2 linked regions of the Kluyveromyces lactis genome follow. The protein of the gene in region 2 interacts with the protein of the main gene of each other region in a pairwise test. Links are inferred from orthologs where the notes say so. Each region holds a gene or a part of one and is shown on either strand. Other genes may lie near its edges.

Region 1 (9,713 bases), on a different chromosome or scaffold from region 2:
CATCATAATCGTAGCTGTCAGCGTCTTCATCATCTTCGTCATCGGCGTAATCTTCGACGCTGTTGGCCCCTGAATTTCTATATCCATCGTCAAAGTCAGAATACTGATGCGAAGATCTGGCACCGTCCGACATATCGTCAGAGTGGTAATCGGTATTTGTCATTGGGACTTCGTCATCATTAGGATTAGCGTCTATGGGGTTATGATTAACCGCAATACATTGTTCGACACGGTCATTGAAATGAATATGTCTTTCCCTTTTTTGCTTTTGCTTCATCGATGATGTAAGAATCGATGATAATATGGGAGGATCAGATCTTGCGGATGGGGTTTCTATCACAGAGCCAGAGATTGGACCTGGAGTGGTATTTACTATCGACGAGTTTGTTTCGGTCACAACGGGCGAAATAGATTCCACCGATTCATCAGGCGGTGTATGGATATTTTTGTAATATTGTGCATTCACCTTCGCGGCAATAGCATCATAATCGTCATGCGTTGTCTGACTTGACTGCGGATCCAAAATAGCATGCAAGTCACTAGTTTGCTTTCTGTGCTGCCTTGCTATATCTAATCTCCATTTGGAGTTTTCCTCGATAATTTCACTAACAGTTCTCTTCTTTAGAATAGGTTTAGGACCGGGACTCTGAGACTTTTGGATCAACCTTTTTGAATTTTCATCATCGGAACCATACCCCATGGTGGCCGCATGATTGTTTCCTATTTCAACGTTGGAAGTGGGCTTTGATGACGACGTCGAGTTATTTTGATCGCCCACTACAATCGGACCGTATAACCAAGTTACATCAGAATCCTTTGACCAGTTCAAAGATTCTGGATTCACAGTTTTCAGATTATTTCTAGCCTTTGACCAAGTTCTCCAGGAAGCATTTTCCAACCTTGCAGCATTGATTAAATCTGTGTCCTTCCGTTTCTTTTTCAAAATGATATAACGCCATGACTGAGATATTTCGTTTTCGTTCCATTTATGAGATAAGTAATCCACATGTCTATTGGGTTCATACATCAAGTCGTTGTCATCATGATGAATTAGGAAATCGTCAGTACCCGGGTCTGGAGGAGAATTAGAATCTTCTACATCTTTGTAGTCGTAGTCGTAATCGTAATCTGCTTCGTAGTCATCGTCGTAGTTATCGACTTGCATGTTTTCGTCTGTGTAGTCTTCGTCGGTTCCGCCAACAGTTGTATTGTGTTTATTCAGCCCGGTGTCATTAAGCGTAGTATCATTACCGTCGTTATCGTCATTATAAGAAGTATTATTACTGTTTTTATTGATATTATCAGTTTTGTTTTCGTTGTCGTTGTTGTTGTTGTTGTTGTTGTTGTTGTTGTTGTTGTTGTTGTTGTTAATATTATTCATGCTCCCGCTACTGTCACCACTATTGAGGTCGTTACTCAAGCCATCGATGTTACTGTTAGAGAAGTTATCGGAATCAACAGAGCTCGAACCTGCCAGAAGTTTCTGAGTATCGTCGATGTATGGATCCAACAGTCCCATGGATCGTGTTCTTTTCAAATTGAACGTAGAATTCTTGAAATGGTCGTCGTCATCAGCATGAACCGCCATAGACACAGAAGGACCCATATCGTCGTAATTTGGGACTTGTTTATTTACACTGCTTGTTCCGTATTCATCATTCGATGAGCTTCTGTTCAATGCGACTCTACCCGGGGTAGCATTCCCCTGAGAAGCATTCCCCTGAGCAAAATACGCCGCTAAATTATTCTGCATAATGCAAAGCGTGCTGTGTTTATCTGGTAAAACCTTCTGAATATTATACTCTGCTGTCTTGTTCAACCGCGTGTGTATCACGCAGTAAAAAAGCTAGGTTGAATTATATCAAGTAAGCTCTGCTTGGATGGTAGAAGGTGATTCCTGCGATCCAAAAAAATTAATGGAATAATAAAATAAAATAAAACTGAGAACCAGACAACGAAAGAAGCCTAGGGTATCAAGCGTTATCAGACGCTATCCTTCAGTCCAACAGTAGTATAGTGAGAAATCTGATTTTGCCTAATGAAAGTAGACCAAATAGAAAAATCACACTATCGTTTAACTCTCCTTTATACCACAAATCGCTTCAGGAAAAATAAAGGACTCTCTCTCTGTTAAAGCAGATTGTAACTATCACTGAAAATGCTTAGCACAAAACAAAAATCGTCGAACGAGGCAATCAGAATACACACTTAAACCTGCTCTTCTTCCTATTCCCCCAAACCTTTACATTCTATATGTTCTATATGTTCTATATGTTCTTTGTTCTTTTTAAAAAGTGGATTTGAAAGCTCAAACCAAAGTCCAAAAGAAAAGGAAACCAAACTAAATTCCCAAAAAGAAAAACGAAAACAGAATAATGAGTACCGCTTGCCAGTATTGTTCAATAGAAAAGATCGAAAAGGAGGCAAAATTTGTCTATGACGCTTTGGTGCTTACGTCTTACAACAGACCGTGTTTAGACATGTAAGTAAAGTTACAGGGTAATAGAGTATAAACCGATCCTAGTATGGCGGACGCTATATTCTGTTGTGTTTGAATTTATTAATTTACTGAGGAAATACAACTCCTAGCTTTTTTTAATGGAGCTGGTTTCCAAGTTAATTATTCATTTCAATTTTTGGAAATTCTAACTTCCCAAGTTATACATGTATAGCGAGAAAAGAAAATCGCACGGTAGCGGAGCGTTTTGAGTTTGTCGAAGATGAAACGGGAACTGGAACATTTCAGTTGGCCCAGGGGCCAACTAAATTTCAAGGGATTATCCGTTGTTTAGCAGGACAAATTTTTTTTTTTTTTTGTTCATTTTTGTCACTTTGGTCAGTTCTGGATTTTACATGAGTTCTACCTTGATCTATACCATACACTGATTCAGTCAATAGTGGTGTCATCGATTCTTGTCATATGTCGAGACACATTATATAGTCATCTTGCATGATCGGAGCGGGCATCTACTCTCTTTTTATTAAATTTGACAGTACCAGTTACCGTGAATGTCAGTAGGATACATGTTATATAAGCCGAAAAGCTTGCCAGAAGACCTGCCAGAAAACTTCGGATTGATATTTTTTTTCTAGTACTCTGGCACGGTGCAAAGCACATGCTGGATCTGCCAAATCTTACTGTTATGTATCATATAGAGAGAGTATTTTGTATTCTAAAACTTTTGGATAGTTTCGTAGAAAGTCTTACCTTGGATTTCGTGAACCTTCAATTCCAAGTCAGATGGTGTTCTGGAACCATCTGCACCGGCAATGGTACCAGCACCCCATGGAGAACCACCATGAGCTTCGTCTAAGTTTGTCAATTCACCGAAAACGTTTTTGTAACCCAATGGGACGTAAATGATACCGTGGTGGGCTAAAGTGGACAAAGCGTTGACAATAGTCATTTCGTTACCACCACCAGTACCGGTAGAAACAAAGAAACCGGCAACCTTACCGTGCAAGGCACCGCTGGCCCACAAACCACCAGTGGTATCCCAGAAAGCCTTCCATTGAGCTGGGAAGTTACCAAATCTAGTTGGAACACCGAACAAGTAAGCATCATATTCCGTCAAAGTGTCCTTAGAAGCAATTGGATAGTCTGGTTTGGCTGGAGCATGCATCAACTTCAAGACTTCTTCGGATAAAGTTTCTGGTACTTGATAGATGTCAGCTGAACCACCGGCAGCTTCGATACCCTTCTTTTCGTATTCGGCAGTCTTAGCAACATGGCCGTACATAGAATAAATGATAATAGCAACCTTAGCCATTTTTGTTAGATAATTCCGAGTTATATTAGGGTGAGTGAATGAGTAATTCTCGAGGTTTTCAGGAAAGAGATGGAAAGAATTGTAGCTACTAAACTTATTATAATTGAACCCTTTAACTGCAGAAGGCTTCCTTAATTTCCTTTTTTACCTTAGTTATATTTATATAGTGCCTGAAACTGAAAGTTTCAATCCATGTAAGAAAGGGGAAGACTGTAAAAAAAAAAAGGTTCGAAGGGGCCCAGAAAAAGGTGTAGGTGTACAAATCAATAACCTAAAATTAATAATAGACATAGTAAGTAGGGCCAATAAGCCTTACTTAAACTTAATAATCTATATGAGCAATTCTGATCACCCTGTTCTCAATTTCTTCAGAGGAAGATATAGTATTACGGCAAAAGTACGCTATAGATTAGTAAATTTTATAAATCTCAAATATGCGAATATAATTTGTCATAATGAAAAGTCAGCCAATTAAGGCACCTTAATTAAGACGTTACAAACACTATGTAAGTTGATAGTTGTTTCGCTGTCGTATAAACCATAAACATTCATAAGTTATTCTATGTTTATAAATTCTTTGTCAGTGCTTTGTCAGTAGTTTGTTAATACTTAGTAAAATATGATAAATTGAAAAACTGGGGATCACGGGATTGAAAACGCAAACTCCTTACATGTCACGTGCATCATAAGGGCTTCTAATGCTCTGCCGTAATCGGGTTCCTCTTTGAGGACCCCATATAAGTCGAGACATTCTCTACTTTAAAGATGGATCCACCAAGGCCCTCTGGACTTGCGTTATCTTCAATGATTTCGTTTGCTGTGGTAACAAACATGTGACCTTGGGCCAAGGTACATGCAGAGATTCGATTGGTCTCTGGGAACGTCCATTTGTGGATTAGATCTCCTTTGGTATCGTACCTTTGCACCGTACTCGTAGACCATACCGCTGTGATGATATTGTGCGTATCGGGATCGATGAAACTGCCGTCAGGTTCAGGTGAATCGAATTGGGAATTGAACTTCTTAATATCAATGAATAATGCCTTGTCCTCCACGATGAGATTTTTGTCTTGGTACGGATACTTGTAAATCGAGAAGTTTAGAGAATCAGTGAAATATACCGTTGTACCATCCTGGCTCCAATTGATTGCATTGGGAATCATCAATTTATCTATTACCAACTCACATATGTTTTCACGGAGGTTCACTTTTAGTAGTGCGCCCTTTGGGTCCTCTGAATCAACAGTACAATGGAAATCGTTCATAATACCGATGAATATTTCTCCATCTGGAGAGACGTTCCCATCGTTGGATCGTAAACCTGTCCAATCCTTCTGCAATCCGCTGTCACTATAGTGAACCAAGTATTGCCATCTCAAAGTGGTGTAATTCATTCTGGCAATCCCATATTTAGCACCGAAATAAACCTCTTCAACACCATCTGCTCTATCAATTGGGAAAATAGCTCCAATACGTTCTGGTAGATCAGTAGTAAATGGGTACAAGCCCTCATAGTTATCAACTGATGCATGCCATACAGTATGAGTTGAAATATCGTCAATATCAGTCACTCTATGGATGTAGGCATTGTAGATATCAATCCAGAAGAGCGCCTTGGATTCAGCTGCATAGCTGATACCCTCTGATAGTCTGATCTTACTATCGAAATAGTATGGTCCATTCTTATGAACAGTTTCCGTTACTTCGGTCATTGCTTTCTTTATAATTTTTCTTGACAGGCTCAATGCACTTTTCGACTATGGTTCTCGCTCACACTGAGAAGAGAATACAATCAATTTGAAAAACACTCTCTTCCGAATGGTCAAACTCTAATTATATCCGATCAATTTCTTTCATTAGCGAATTCTTATTCTTATTCAATTGCATGATTCTTTTACCACTTATATATACCCTTATTTTGAGAAGATGTTTGCATCTTTGTTGGAGTTTCTGGCTGAAGGAAAACAACGAAGGAATCGGAAAAAACGGAAAAACGGAAAAACAGGCAATAATTAGTTCCGGCCTAATATGATAATCAACACGAAGAAGTTTCTTAAGAAGAACGTATCCTTACCTATATATGTAAATACAAGGCCCAGTTAAATAATTGCTAGTGAACTAGAATATTTTCTCTGATTTTTTTTGATCTGTATTTAAAAAACAGTATAATCTGTCAATGATCACGCTTCATGGCGTAGGTCTTGCGATTTGCTAATAATATTTCTCCAGTTTGATATGTAAACGAAATAGTTCTCGCCAATAGCTAGGAAGAGGACACCTACCCCGATACCTATCCAGAACCCGAGCACTTCCATTTTGAATTTGAACGCTAATAAAATACCGACTTCAAGCCCAACTAGATAGTACGCCATTATGTTTAAATACCCACCGATTCGTTGTCTTCCCTGAGCTCTCAAGACACCTGCAGCCATGACATTGAAGCAATCATATATTTGATTTAATGCGACGACACAGAGTAATCCTGCAGCTTTATTTACCAAAACCGGGTCCGCATTAAACAAAGAACATAACTTGTAACGACCGAAGTACAACACTGTGAAATTTATTATTCCTGCAGCAGGACCAACCCCAAACATAGTTGCTTTCGTCGCTGTCTTGCAGTTTTCCGTGATTCCAGAACCAATGTGATAGGCAATTCTATTGGAAGCAGCCACACTGCAGCTGAAGGGTAATTGGAAGAAAAACGTTTGTAAGGTCGCTACAATACTTTGTGCAGCTAAGACTTCCGTTCCGAATTTCGCGCTTAAAACAGTGATGATCTCGAAAGCAAAAAACTCAGCTTCGATCATGATCAAACCTGGTAGCGCTAAAGCAATAAGGGGACCCCAATTCTTGAAAATTGCCGAGAAATTCCCAGTTATCGGATGCCAGCAGGAAGAATTACCAAAATATATTTGACGACAGATGTATGCAACAATTGTGAGCCCCATAAGAGTATAAGACAGCACCATAGAAATTGGAGATCCGATGTAGCCAAATTTGTACTTTAGAACAAATAAATAATTCAACAATATGTTCAATGGTGCACAGACAAACAGAATGTTTTGTCCAGTTACGAAATCTCCCTGAGCTTGTAAGTACTTCTTACCACATTCGAATATGATATAGCCGGGAAGACTAAGAATCATGATACGCAAATAAACAGCGGCGATATGGACAACGTCAGCGTCCTCCACTAGAAACGATAAAACGTACTCTGAATTATACCAAAATGCAATTACCGGAACGGCAAATAGGAAAGAAATGGCAACACCTCTTTGGAAATACAGTCCCACCATGTTGTACTTACCTGCACCATACGCTTGAGGACAAACCGTATCCAAACATGTTGCAATACCGATAAATATAGCCGAAGTGACCGCGAAAGTGACATTTCCGATCGAAATCCCTCCAACTTCTAAAGTCCCAACCCTTCCAGCGAAAACCAAAGCTGAGGACGATAATGAACATTGCAAGAGAAACGTAATGATTAATGGGATGGAGGTCTTAGTCATATACCAGAACTCATACTCTAAGCTCGTTTCCCCATCCTTTTTCAAGGATTCCACTGTATTGTATCCGCTATCGCCTCCTCTATGGGCAATTAATGAAGAGTCTTCACCTGGTACCATTCATAAATATTTAAAGACTCTATTTGTATCTCTAGAAGCTTTCTTGGCAGGCAATCCTGATACTTTCTATCACAATTTGAAGAACGTATTAAATATAAGAGTAATACCGATATTACACTATTGCTTCATCGTTTCTCTAGAACAGCGACCAGCGATGAAATATCGATGAAAGACGCCGTTACAGAACTACTGGCTAACGGTAAAAGATAACAATGTGATTACTTCTTCATCCTTCCTTTAAATAAAACCAAACATCAAGAGCAGACATCAAATTTACGTACCAATCCTTTTTTTTTTCATCACCATAAAGGGAAATGACTTGATATGGCACTTCACTGAGTAAAGAACATCCACACAAAGTGGCCCGAATGGGGTATCGAAATCAGGCACTAATGCGCCGACAAAACAGAATAGCTATTCTTCTTATCGTGCAGATAAACAGAGAAATTCCACTGATCATGCAGATCGTCGAGGTATAAAAAAGTCTAAAATGGTTCGGAATACAATTCTCACATTCACGCAAAATATTTCCATATTAGGTATCATTTTGCTTTGTGATGAAATCTAAAAACTTAAAACTTGAGGTCGCTGTTGATAGCAGATCCTGGCTTTAATACACATCATGAACTGTTACTCCAAACTAGATAGCAAGCAGGTGCTTAACGTTAATCTCTCCACTTTATCTCTCTTTAGGAATGCATGGGAGATAAAGGATTGAAGGAAAACGATATTTCATATAAAATAGGCAAGCTAATCACTTGGTCGATGAGCTTCATGCATGTTTCCTTCATCTCGAGCTGCTAATAAATGTATAATATAATACCGGAAAACATTAACACTAACAATCCATATTCAGCTCAACCTTACTTGTCAAGACTTGATAACATCCGGTTCAAGACTCAAATCAACCACAATCGGAGTAAGAATCGCTAGAAAAAATCAAGTAAGAATACCTACATTTCTTCTCTTTAAGGCCAATCTACCGTCTATCTTCCAATATCTCCCCTCTTTCACCTATAAGTGACAGAAAGTTACGGCAATCAAGCTATTATAATGATCGAGATGAGTTCATTTGGAAGTAAGCCTGAGGGCTCTGAGAGTGGGAAGACCTTTTACAATTATGAGGTGGATAAGACGATGATCAAGACACCCAGCGTCAAGAATCACGATGTGGAAGATGGTGAATTTGAACAGTACGGTGATGATACTAGCCTATCTTACCGTGATGCTTTTGAAGAAAGCGATGAAGAAGGTCATCAGATTAAATACAAGACTAGTTCATGGCAGCATATTACAGGTCTAATGTTATCAGAATACATCATCTTAGCCATGATGTCTTTCCCATGGTCCTATTCAGTATTAGGTTTAATACCGGGTCTTATTTTAACGGTGTTTGTTGCTGGTGTTGTGTTATACACCAGTTTTATCATTTTAGACTACTGCGAAAAGTTCCCTCATCTTAAAAATGCGTGTGACATCGGACAGCATTTATTTTGGGGAAGTAATTTTGCATGGTATGCAACTGCTGTTTGTTACGTTGCCAACAATACCCTTATCCAGGGTGTGCATGTCTTAGTCGGTGGTAAGTACCTTAATACCATCACAAATCACTCTACCTGTACTGTTGCATTTGGTGTCATTACCGCAATCATTTCTTTTGTGTTTTCTATCCCAAGAACCTTCGCCTCTATGTCTAAAGTTGCATACTTCTCAGCTATTACCATGTTCATTTCGGTAATACTGGCTATCATCTTTGTAGGAATCCAGGATCACCCGGTTGGTTATGATGGTACTCATTTGACATTCAGTTTATGGCCACAGAAGGGCACAAGTTATGTAGATGCAATGGGTGCATTTTTGAACATTGTGTACGTTTTCGCTGCTCAAGTCACTTATCCACAGTTCATCTCAGAAATGAAAAGACCGAGGGATTTCAAGAAGGTGTTCTTGCTTGTCACTGCAATCGAAGTTGTCATCTATTCAATAACAGGTGCTGTAATGTACTATTATATCGGTAATGAATACATGACCACCCCTGCATATGGGTCCTTAACGAGAAAATACAAGATTATAGCATACTCTTTTGCAGTGCCTACCATCATTTTCGTGGGGTCTCTCTATTCTAACATAACAACCAGATTCATTTTCTTCAAGGTCTTCAAAAATTCAGAACACATGCACTCTCATACCACTATCGGGTGGTTAAGTTGGATCGGAATAATCGTGTTAACTTGGATAGTTGCCTTTATTGTTGCAGAAGTGATTCCTTTCTTCTCAGATCTATTATCTTTGATGTGTTCCTTGTTCGCCT
Region 2 (12,199 bases):
TCTATATCAGCATTTCATTGAATCAAGAGCTGTTAAGAAGATCGTTAAAGGGGATAGTAACCAACCGTTGAAGGCAATCGGTTTGTTAAAAAAATTATGTAACCATCCAGACTTATTAGAGCTATCTGAAGACATTCCGGGTTCAGAAGAGTTAATACCCGACGATTATCAATCTTCTGTTGACTCCCGCACTTCAAGAAATAGAAGCGTTATTCAGACAGCTTTTTCCAGTAAGTTTTCGGTCTTGGCAAGATTTTTGTACAAAATTAAAACGGAGTCTAACGACAAGATTGTGTTGATTTCAAACTATACCCAGACGCTAGACTTGATTGAAAAAATGTGTTTTAGTAACCACTATGGCGTATTGAGATTGGATGGTACCATGAACATCAATAAAAGACAAAAGTTAGTGGACCGGTTCAATGATCCGGAGGGACAAGAGTTTATATTTTTGTTAAGTTCCAAGGCCGGTGGTTGCGGTATAAACTTGATTGGTGCCAACAGATTGATTTTATTAGATCCAGATTGGAACCCGGCTGCAGATCAACAAGCTTTGGCTAGAGTTTGGAGAGATGGGCAAAAGAAAGATTGTTTTATCTACAGATTCATTAGTACTGGTACCATTGAAGAGAAGATTTTCCAAAGACAATCGATGAAGATGAGTTTGAGTTCATGTGTTGTGGATGAAAAGGAGGATGTTGAACGATTGTTCAGTTCGGATAATTTGAAGCAATTGTTCAAACTTGATACAAAAACCATATGTGATACCCATGAGACATATAATTGTAAACGCTGTAAGAATGGAAAGCAAATTTTGAAAGCTCCGGTAATGCTATACGGTGACGCGACTTCGTGGAATCATTTGAATCACGATGCATTAGCAAAAACAAACGACCATCTCTTGAAAAATGAATTCAATCACAAAGACATCAGTTTTGCATTTCAATATATATCGCATTGATCTTTCATTTTTTTAAAGTACATTTTAATTTCACTACTATATAGACGCATTAATAAATTCGGTTTCTGGGCGGTTCGGAACAGATAACTCGGTTAATATGAAGAGGCAACTCAAGTTTTCGAGATCTTTGAGCCGATCCTAATTTATATAAATACAGTTTGAATATGGATTTCCATATTAAAGCTAATTTTATTACGAGTATGTTTGAATAGAGTTACATGAACATATGTACTTACCCTAGAATAAGGTAGTTTAAGAATTATAAGTGTGTCATCAAATCATCAATGTCTGCGAATTCAACGGGGAACAGGTCGTTAGGAGAGGGGTTATTACCTTCACTAGTGCCACTGAACAGAGAGTTGTTATCGATGATGTTTTGGTTCACCATATTTGATTGTTTCAGTGCCTGGTTGAAGTCAGTGGTGAATGACGGTTCTACAAAGGATGGCGCTACTCCGACCTTCTCGATGCTGAATACGGATGGATCTCCGTACTGTGTATTAGCACTTAGAACTGTATTGGTGGAATCCGCTGGTGAGTTGAAATGATTACCAGATGCCGGAAGTGCTGTGCTGTTAGTTTCTGCTGGTGAAACCATAGACTTGATTTGTGGCGTAGAAGTGTTGGGTACATTTTTCGGATGTCTCTTCCTTTTATTCTCATTGTCATAACGATGATTTTTGTGTATACTAACGGAACGTTCCCTTCTAGAATTGACGCTCTTCCAACTTATAAATGGATTTGTAGATGAGTTTGAACCGATACTCGGTGGCTTTGATTCCGGAATATCCATAAAGCTAGGAGTTATAGATAGAACTTCGACGCTTCGTACGCTGTCCGTATCAAAGCCATATACATTTTGAGATTGGTCCACTTGAACAGGGTTAAGATATCCGCGTCCATTATTAGAATGATGAAGCATATCCTGGTAGTGATGAGCGTTACCACTATGAAGCATAGAAGACAGAGAATCCGAACTGTTTAATGAACTAATGAAATCATTGTTTGATGATGCCACGGAGTCATGAGAAGATATATTTGACACAAAAGAAGATGAACGGCCAGCGACTGAGAGTGGAACGCGTTGGGTTGATCCACTCTTTGAAATGTTATCTACATTGTTACGCAAATGTTGTTCGCTAAGAGCCTTCCGTTGCTCTTTCAACTGATTATAACTCAAAGATTTCGAAGTATCCGCGAAATACGTCACATTTGGGGCATCTGCAGAGACGTCATTGTAGATAGATACGTGCTCTCCCATGAGAAGTGGATTGATGTGATCGGCTTGGTCCTCTGAAGAAGCAATATTCGTTGGGACGTATTCCGTAAGCGGAATGAAAACTTCACCGACTTTAGTCCTCGTCTTGGGTGTGATAGGTTTCATGGTACTTAGAGGTTCTAATCCGATTGTATTTTTACTATCCGGTCCGTTACCAGGTGGAGACCGATTAGAACTTGACAGCGACGCATTATCCCAGCCAGTGGAAAAGCTTGTATTCATAGAGATCGGAGACGCCAGGAAGTTCGATAAATCCTGATCGACAGAATGTGACGAATCCAGAGAATGTAGAGATTGGTGTGAATATCCGCTATTAGTATGTTTTGATATTTTACCATTGATATCCAGTCCTACAGCGGAATTGCCTTGATGTGATTGTTTTTTCCTTCTTGGCGCACGCTTCTTATGACACGGGCAGTGATCCGGATCATTCTTACAAACACATCCCGATTCTTCTCTTGCCTTCTGTGCGATCCGTTTCTTCTCTTGTCGCCCACAAGTGCATTGGCCCGATGGATTCGCATTCCTGTTCTTCCGTAGTTCTTTACAATGAGCACAAGTCGTTGACGGCCTACCTTTCGGTTTAATCATAGTCAACGGCTGATCTGTATGGTTACATGTAGTCACTCTGTGTCCTCTAATACACCTTTCACAGGCATATTTCACACCGTTGATAAGAACCATTGTGTGCTATTTGAATGCGATACAGAATGTGTCTGTGCTGTCTTCAGTGAATAATAACCACAAAAAAAGCTTCAAAAGTCAGCAGTAAGAAGCCAGCAAAGGGACAATGAAAATGACAATTAGGGAGTGTGAATATTAAGACAAATGAATTAGATTAGGTCACTCCAATATGTGTGTTTTCTTTTTCTTTCCTTAAAGTTGATTAAGCCGTTGTCTGACTAAAAATCCTACCAGAAAGAGAAGAGAAAGAAAAAAAGGAAGATATTCAGCCTTATAATTGGGGGTTGGATACTGAGAACGTGAACAGAATAAGCCAGAGACAGCAGTTTCTCTATCAATCTCCTCAAATACTAGTCAAAAACACTGATATATAGTATCTTTTTTTTATCTCTCAAAATTTGACCTTTAAAAGTTCTGTTGAAATTTTTAAACCTAGTAAGTAATGTCTCTGTAAAATTTCAGTACACATCAAATCAAATACAAGTACAGTGAGTAAAGTTGGGAAGGAGAAGTATTCGTAGCAGATTCTTTCAGAAAATAGCGTCAAATGGTACAACACAAGTAATATGGATACCGAGTTATTCCTGTATACCAGCCGTTAATTCTTAAACCTTATGAGTAACGAAGGCAATTGAGGAATACTTACAGTACTTCTCTTTTCAATTTTTTTTTTCCTATAATTTTTTCCAAAAGAAAAAAAGGTATTAAGACAACAAAGAAGAAGTTCGGTATGTAGTAGCTTGATTATCTTAGGTCTAATTAGGAAAGTGGAAAAAAGCAGTTTTGAAACGCTGAAAGCTATCTATGTTTAATGGTATAGCGGGATGTAGAGCTCAATCAGGGTAGGAAATAAGTCTTTCAGCTCCGATTATTGCAGATCTATATATATATATATATATATATATATATATATGTATTCTGTTTGATAAGAATGTTTGATATGTCCGTATATGTATGTGAACAGCTGTTTGCGGGTAATGATTTTAAAGCCTTCAAGACTCTTCCATTCGTACAGGAATTTCAAGTGTTGTGCAGTGTCTTCTCCGCCAATGTGCACCGGAAATTAGAAAAAGAAATTTCATTTCGACATGCTTCGAGAGGCACCTCGTCAAGCTGCGTTCTTCTGTCTTATTCGGATGGTAAGGGTAGGACGACACATACATCATTATACTCTGTACTAACAGCGTTGGGCAAGGTGCGGAGACGTACACACGCCATTGTAAGAGGAATTGTTACACGATTCAGGAGAGAGGGGAGGTGGTCTAAGCCGGTTTTCGTTCAGTAGTCATCAGGGTTCCCAACTGATAAATATTTGTTGCTTCCATTTCCCAGATGAATATAGAGTTTTACCCAACTGGCAACTATGCAGTTAACTTGCTAATCGATAAACCAAAAGATACTTTACATTATATTTGATTGTTTACAGGTGTACATACTTCTGATAAAAGAACTAGTGAAAATTAGTAGTGACCCACTTATTTCACGAGTTCGACGTTGACTTTGGTAGTGTCACCTTTGTTAACGACGACGTTACCTTCTTCGTCGACGCCCAAATTGTTGACTTGTTTGAACAATTCCTCTTGTTCAGCAGCGGTCAACTCTTCGTTCTGCTTACGTTTTAAATAGTAGCTTGGCTTCAATTGTCTCAGTTTTAGATTCTTACAGAATGGTAAATGGCCATTTCTTTCTTCGTACATCATTAGTCCGATAACAATCATTAAGACCAACCAGTACAAGTTGTAAGCAAGGATGGATGACAAATAACCAGTGTTTTGCCAGCCCAACAACGAGTTGAAGATATCCCAACCGTTGTCCAATTCCGGGTTACAACAGTTAACGTGGTACACGGTTCTTAAGATGTTATAGGACCCGTTACCATCACCGGATTCGGATGCGTCACCACCGGTCTTCTTGTTGAAGTAATAGTTATCGAAGTACCACACACCTCTGGAGAACAACCCGGAAGCAATCAAGTAAAGAACACAAGTAGAAATGACCAAGAAGATTTGTAGAGATGACTTAGAAGTACCGTAGTACAACAAAGTACCTACGATGATACCAGCAATTAACCCAATGACGACAGGCAATGGGTACGCAGTGGCCTTGGAATCCTTGGTGGTAATACCGGCACCAGCAACGAACACGACGGCTTCCAAACCTTCTCTCAAAACAGTGATAAATGGCAACAAAAACATAGAATATCTGGTAGCCCAGTATTTAAGACTCCATTTCTTACGTCTGTCCTTTGGAACTTCAAGCATGGCCTTGGCAATCTTAACTCTCCATTTGGCTTGCATCTTGTTGACTCTTAACATAGCAATACCCATGACAGAAATCATTAAGGTAGCGATGATACAGAAGACACCTTCCCATAAATCTTCAGCAGAACCGAAAATATCATTTTCGTAACGGTAGTAAGCACCAATGAAACCACCACCAATGGCCATACAAATGATGAAACCAGCAACAACACCGATCCAGACATGCATTCTCAACCTTTTATAAGTGGCCATATCATTAGAACCGATGGATTGTTTCAAGAAAGAAAGCAACACGGAAACAATCACCGCTGCTTCTAAACATTCTCTGAACACAACGAAGAACACAGCAACGTTGAAAACCTTGTTAGCAGCCATGACTGATTGGTTGTAGTTTGTTCAGAATTTACGGATGTTATAGTTGTATTCTGATAAAATCAAATTACAACACATATCAAAAAGCATCAAAAATATGTTCATAACATAACCTTCCACATCGCATGCGATGGAATATTAACACCTGAGGAGACAAACAAAAACATCAACATGGGGTCCAGTTTCGCATACTTATATATTCTGAACCATTCAATATCGAATGAAGGTGACAGAAACCTTCCCTGAAAAATATGATTTATGCACCCAAAACTTTATCATCTTCCAATATTACACCTTGGTACATGCACCCTTCCCCTGCTCTTGAGGTCTTGGCTTTTTCGGTGTTTTTTTTTTGTCAATTCCAATTCCACATACAAAACTGTAAATGTCGAGGATAGAACCGCAAGCAGCATTGCAATTGGTGGTTTTTAGCATTTTCAGCTAGCAAAATTCCTACACCGCTACAAATCGAGATGTTACTCAAATAACAGGCTATCAAAGTACAGGGCTATGTGTGGACTAGATAATACGTTTTAGGTTCAATATTTTAGACTTTGCCCAAATAATACCCATACGGCCAGTAAACTGACAGTACCAAGAAATCCGTAGTGGGAAAAACTATGAAGGGAAAAAATTGGGTAAAGAATGGAATAGATGTCTAGGCAAAAAAACACAAAAAATGGTATAAGTTTCCACTTAGAAAGGATAGTTGAAATTGGAAAGGTATAACGGATTGGATTAATTTGGCTTCAACAGTGTTTCCATTACTGAAGCGGAAGACGAAAAAAAAAGCAATGGTATGGTACTGATTATTAAAGGGAATGGAGAGAGGAAGAGATATACCCATCCTGCGTCAAATACAGTCTTGGTTATGAAATCAGGTGTAAGAGTTCTAGTTGAGGAAAAGTATGGCAGGAAAATTAAATCCTATCTGAAAGCGTAGTATAGGGTGTATATGTTACAATCTAAATTGATGTGATTTTCATTTCCTTTCTTTCCCATTTCTCCTGAGAATAAGCGCATAAGGCTTCTTCACTGCATGGATTTCTGTATATGATGTTACTTCCGAAGTACTGACTTGACCTCTTGGCATTTTCCGTTGGCCAATAACCAATTTTTGCCATGAAAAAAACTTTGGAAAAAAGTATGAGTGTGATAGAATAAATTACAATCTAGCTTTGAGGTACGTTATTACTACAGATAGATAGATGGTACCGCTTCATATCATCTGCATACCCAGTAAAAAAGTAACGAGAATAGCTAGGGCTCATACAATCTCATTCAATATTCCGAAACCCACAAATTTCTTTTGATTAGGCTCGTTCTAGCTCTTTCCCGATTGACATTTTCCCACTTGCCCCATAACACTCTGTGTATATCTTGTTAATGGTGTCATTATAGTTCCTCATTAACTTTCCTCATATCCCATCCCCTACCCTTTGCCTAGTTTCATATTCTTTTCTTGTCCTGCCTTAGCATTTCTTAGTTTTTTTTTTTTTTTCTTTCTTTCTACTGCTTTACTTGATTTACGGGTGCGCTCTTAGAAGTGTTCTGTAAAGTTTACAAAGGTCTAGAAGCTGCTGTAAGTCCGTCACAGACTCTAGGTATTGATTGAATTGGGAATCTTCCGCTTTGTATAGCTGATTTTCTATAAGATCTCGGGACCGTGATAGTACGGTCACGTGGTAACTGTAGATTTCATTTCGTAACATTGTCACGCATATTTCCAATCCTTCGTCGTGGTGTCGTAGAGCTTGAAGTGCTACAGCATTGCGCCTTTGTTGGTTCTTTAAGATTTCTTTCAACTGTTCGTTTTGTTTGGTCACGTGATGTAACATGTTGTCCTCTTCATTCCCATCTTCTTCTTCTTCATCCTGAATTGAGAGTTCCTCGTCTTTCAACCTTTTGTATATAAATTGCTTTGTGACATTGATGTCCGGTGATACGTCCACATTGCCATGGTTCAACTGCCTGGATAGAAGGTCCACATCCTGCAAAACAGCATCTCTCATATTTTCGTTCGTTTTCAATTGGGCGGAAAGTTCATGCACTAGTTCATACATGTAATCTAAATTTTCAGTTTGTGCTCCCATGAACAATACAGGCTGATTTTCAGCGTCTTTGCCGCTTTCCATGATTATTGTTGGTTTGCTATTGAGATATGCGGTTGGTTACTGTACAAACTGAGAGAATTATCTTAACAGATATCGAGGAATAGCCGTGTATTTGCCTCTGTTCTTTTACATTTTCCTTATTTTATTGTTCTTGATTACTGCTATTAGACATTATTGTATGCAGAAACAGAAGTCGAGAGAATAAAGAAAATGGAATGCTATCCATATTGATCACGTGACCTCTGAATCGTTTTATACGCGTTGCATCTTGAAACGATTCAGAGGACGCTCGGCGGCTAAATTGATAATAAAATAAAAAGTGCTCCTTATTTCTTAAAGTTCGTTAGTTGTTACTTCTCATTAATATTTATGAGTAAAACTATATCGATGTGTATGTCAATACACAGAGTTCTAAACAGGTTATTGTTGCTAGGAAACTCGTTCACATAATGGCAGAGGTGGGAGTCAGAATAGCCCAAGATCAGAACATTGCAACAGTGTGGTTGTTATCCAGTTTGGGAGCGTCCCACTCAGTGAATGTGAAGAAAAGAGAGATAGTCAAAGTTTCCATTCCTCATGCTTGCCAAATATTAGCATCTGGGCAAGTATCGATGCCTTTACGCCATACTGGACAGTTGTTATACGGTGTCACAGTGTGCTATGAACGGAAGACTGGATTCATTTTAGCAGATGTTACCAGCTTGAGAGACGCATTGCAAAGACAATGGATAGGTTTGAAACCTCTGGGGAAAAGTACTGGTGGTTCCGGTGGTCATAACAAAACAAAAATGGTACAGAACCAAGTCATCACTGAAACTGGTGATAATTTCTTGCAGGATGATCCAAATTTTGATATGATGATGCAATTGAAGATGGACAACAATTTGGATTTCCTCCTTAACGGAAATAATAATACAAATGACAGACAAATTTTGACCAATTCAACAAGGGCTCCAGTACTTGCCGATAAGCAGGCAATCAGGCAGGACGACATGTGGAGAGAAATGGAAATTGGTAACGAGCCGTATTTGAATGCAAGATCAAGAGGTAATACGGTAAATAGTGGTCATGATTTTCATATTAATGGTGATGCTGACGAATATGAGGATGATGATTTGGCTCCCATTGACGTAGAATTGAATTTCAGACTCGACGAAGTATTAACTGACAATGAAGCAGAGACCGCTAATTTAAGTTCAGTGCACAGTGACCTTGGTCTGAATTACGATAACGATGCGACTCATGGAATAGATCTTGGTATGCCAGTGCTTGATGAAACAGAAACTTCTAATCCACATTTGCAACAAATGAAAAGAAGATTAGGTCTCGACAATGAAGATGAAGATGAAGACGGGAATACATTAAACGAAGTAGAAGTAAACGCCAAAAGCACAAAAAATAAAAAGCGAAGAACGGTGGCTAATTGGTTCCAAAAGATCAAGGTTGATAGTACGATTGGCTTATTAACAGATACATTGCGCTACAATCATGAAAATTACAAGGACATTATGAGAGATTTACATGCCCGTAGATCGTCAAAATCAAAACCTATGATCTCTGACTGGAAAGAATTGTTTACTGATGAAGATCGGCCAAGGCAGATGCTAAATTTTTACTCTGAACTCTTCCAACCATTGAGCTCTATCAATTTTCCGCAAGGTAGAAGAGGAAGAGTAATGCACTCTGCAGGAGATACGTCTAGATCTAGCAGCGTTTTGAGTTTAGAACATGGAAGAAGAATGGACTTTTCGAACGTATCCAGTAGTGGTGATTCCAACAGGATTCATCTTCACAACTTACCTGAACAAATAAACGAGTATCCTGAGTATATGGACATGCCAATGGATGATCCCCAATTTATGGAACTTGATATCCCTCCCTCAAGTTTTGGTAGAAGCACAAACAGAAACTATACTGCCAATTCAGACAATCTCGAAAACTTAAGAGGATATCCAAATCGAAGAAGAGGAGCGATAAGAGGAGACAGCGGTTCTGCGGACTACCTTTCAGGATCAGATTCAATTCCACAGACATTTAATGAAAATCAACAGCAGCTTATCGTGCATGATAAGCAGACAGAAAAATTCTTTCAATATATTGTTGAGAGAGGACAACACATAGGTAAAAGAACTGCCGCTTTCCCAGGTTATTCCAGAAAATTCCTTTTTGAAGATATTATCCCAAGTAAGTTAAGTCAGGAAGAAGATGAAGAGATTATACCTGTTACTAAAAGAATTGCCTGTAATGCCTTTTTGTCGCTTTTACAATTGGCTACTTCGAGCAAGTTGAAAATTGATCTTTATAATGTAGAGCCTGAAAAGGTGTTCAGGGTACTAAATGGAGATGATATCATTGTATATTGCTAACTGGATCGAGTGAGAGTGTTTTTTTTTTAATAACTGACGTTCGGTTCTCTTGAGAGTGATTCTTCTTTCAAGCCCCATTTTTTGAGTAAATTTATAGTCTTCATATATTACACTGGAGCTACATAATAGCTAACTAAGGTAATACACTAATCCAGAATTTGGCTGTTTCCAAACGGTCGTTCTCTGAATCTCTTACAGAGAAAGTAACAGTGTTCAGACCTTCTGCCAACTTGATATCGTATCTTGCTTTACTTTCGTCGAATTTATCCCCATCTAATACTGGTATTGGGTTTACTTTATCCTTGTTTGCTATCAAAACTGCAGGGCTATCTTCTGAAACAGGAGAGCTTAATTGTGAAACCACAGTAATTGAATTTTGTTTTGGTGGTAGTGTAATAGCATATTCGTGGCTGGTTTGGGTGAGGGCACCATCTGCGAATATGTATTCGAACCAAGTGATATTGTCGGAATTCTGATACAGTCCCTTCAGTGGTCGTATTGATTGTTCATAAAAACTTCTAGAAGAAGAAATCTGAATCTTTTCTATCACTTTATAAGGCACTGGCTCTGTCTTTGGTTCAATGTTGTGCTTTTTTATAACAGGAAGGATGTTAAATTTCAAGGGAAGTGGTTTATCTGGTTCATTGTTTTCAACTTTCGAGTCTGCAGTTTTACTTGTTTTTGATGGTCCCAAAAGGTAATCTCTAGACATTGGGCCTCGATTATATCCATTTCCTAGTCCCTCTATATAATTGTATTCTTCGTTAGTTTCATCATCATCAGAAAGAATTGGTTCTTCCTCTTCTTCTTCTTGTACGAACTGTTTATATTCAATTTTGTCGTATTCCAGCGTGATTTCTCCTTTTTCTCTAGCAGTTTCTAATTCAGGGAAGAACCTTCTTTGGATCAATACACTAAAACATTTCATCAGCTTCAATGCATCGCTATATATTGTAGTATCTTCGTCATTGAAAACCAATGCGTTTTGAAACGTCAAATTAACATCGGTAATGAAATCGTAGATTTTGTGATAGTATCCAAGTTCTAAGTTATTTTTCACCAAGTTCAATGAGTTAGGTAAACGAATCACTTCTTCATATTCTGGATACTCATCTTTATCTACCAATTCAAGGAACGGTTGGCATATGTTTAAAGTGTCATCCAAGTTGTTGTTAGAAGCCGCTTCTAATTTTACGTCATCATCTTCTGCTAAGATTTCTGCCATCTGTTTATCTGTTACATTGAGTAAAGTGTCAAAGATTGCTATGAAACGTGTCTTCACATCATCGTTAACCAAGAAATTTCTTGTAGCATTTTTTACTTTCAACACTTCATTTTTGATGAAATATACCACTTGTTTCGCATTTTTAACAATAAGAGAATCTGGATCGTTATATGCAAGACAGTTCTTGTAGATCAGTTCACAATCCAATAAGAACTTGGTTTCCCCACCACTATATTCGTAATCCCTGCTTTTAATTTCGTTAATAGAGATCGGTTGATCAATTTTGTAATAGTACTGTGGATGAAACTTCCTACTGGGTAGTTTGATAAAGTGTTTGAATAAAGCCTTGTGAGCTTCAACTAAATTATCCAAAGTAAATGCGATGAACAAATTCAACTTAGGAATAGTCCAATCTAGATCTACAATGAGCTCTTCTGTAGGATCCAAAGGGTGCACATAATCCACTTTGGGTAGAGCGCCGCTTCTAGGACGTTTTCCTGGTGTATATCTTGGTACATAATTCTGTTTTGAATGCTTTTGTTCGGGTTCCTCACTGGGATCTTCTGATCTGCTTCTTTTCACAGCCATAGTATTTGGCGCTTTCCAGTTTGTTTATGCTTTTTTTTTTGCCTCCTCGCTTCCTTGGCTTCTTAAATGAACAAATTTCAGTATATATGCAGCAGTCAAGGCACTTACTCTAACCGTACCTAATTGGCTCCTTTGACAAACCAAAATCGTATACTGCGTATTGTTTTATATGTCTATTCTACAAAGTTTGTATATTTCAATGTTTTCAATAAAGAGAGTGAAAGTACCTTTACAAGATTGAGAAATGTTCAGACGTATATAGTGATATATCGCATTTCAACATTTGGTGAACCCATTTTGAGTGCGCTAATAGTGCAGAAACCTATTGCGTCACGATTCGATATTGGCG

What was found. The genes of interacting proteins can lie anywhere in the genome.
Region 1: the proteins of FTR1 (region 2) and KLLA0_F04323g interact in a protein complementation assay, tested with the Saccharomyces cerevisiae proteins (2 studies listed by BioGRID). The link is inferred for Kluyveromyces lactis from reciprocal best matches to the Saccharomyces cerevisiae genes FTR1 and PST2.

The regions. Positions count from the first base shown.
Region 1 is NC_006042.1:405,200-414,912, reverse strand, and holds KLLA0_F04323g (uncharacterized protein), read right to left. Parts: upstream 3,771-9,713; coding exon 3,174-3,770; downstream 1-3,173. Other genes in the region: RPI1 (protein phosphatase regulator REG1), read right to left, coding at 1-1,753; KLLA0_F04301g (regucalcin), read right to left, coding at 4,466-5,482; KLLA0_F04279g (MATE family efflux transporter), read right to left, coding at 5,951-7,402; KLLA0_F04257g (uncharacterized protein), read left to right, coding at 8,456-9,713.
Region 2 is NC_006037.1:260,278-272,476, reverse strand, and holds FTR1 (high-affinity iron permease FTR1), read right to left. Parts: upstream 5,561-12,199; coding exon 4,400-5,560; downstream 1-4,399. Other genes in the region: DNA-dependent ATPase RAD54, read left to right, coding at 1-961; CUP2 (Cup2p), read right to left, coding at 1,221-2,924; FAR7 (Far7p), read right to left, coding at 7,084-7,692; REC8 (Rec8p), read left to right, coding at 8,121-10,037; RSC4 (Rsc4p), read right to left, coding at 10,171-11,850; MEH1 (Meh1p), read right to left, coding at 12,181-12,199. UniProt on the Saccharomyces cerevisiae protein: Permease for high affinity iron uptake.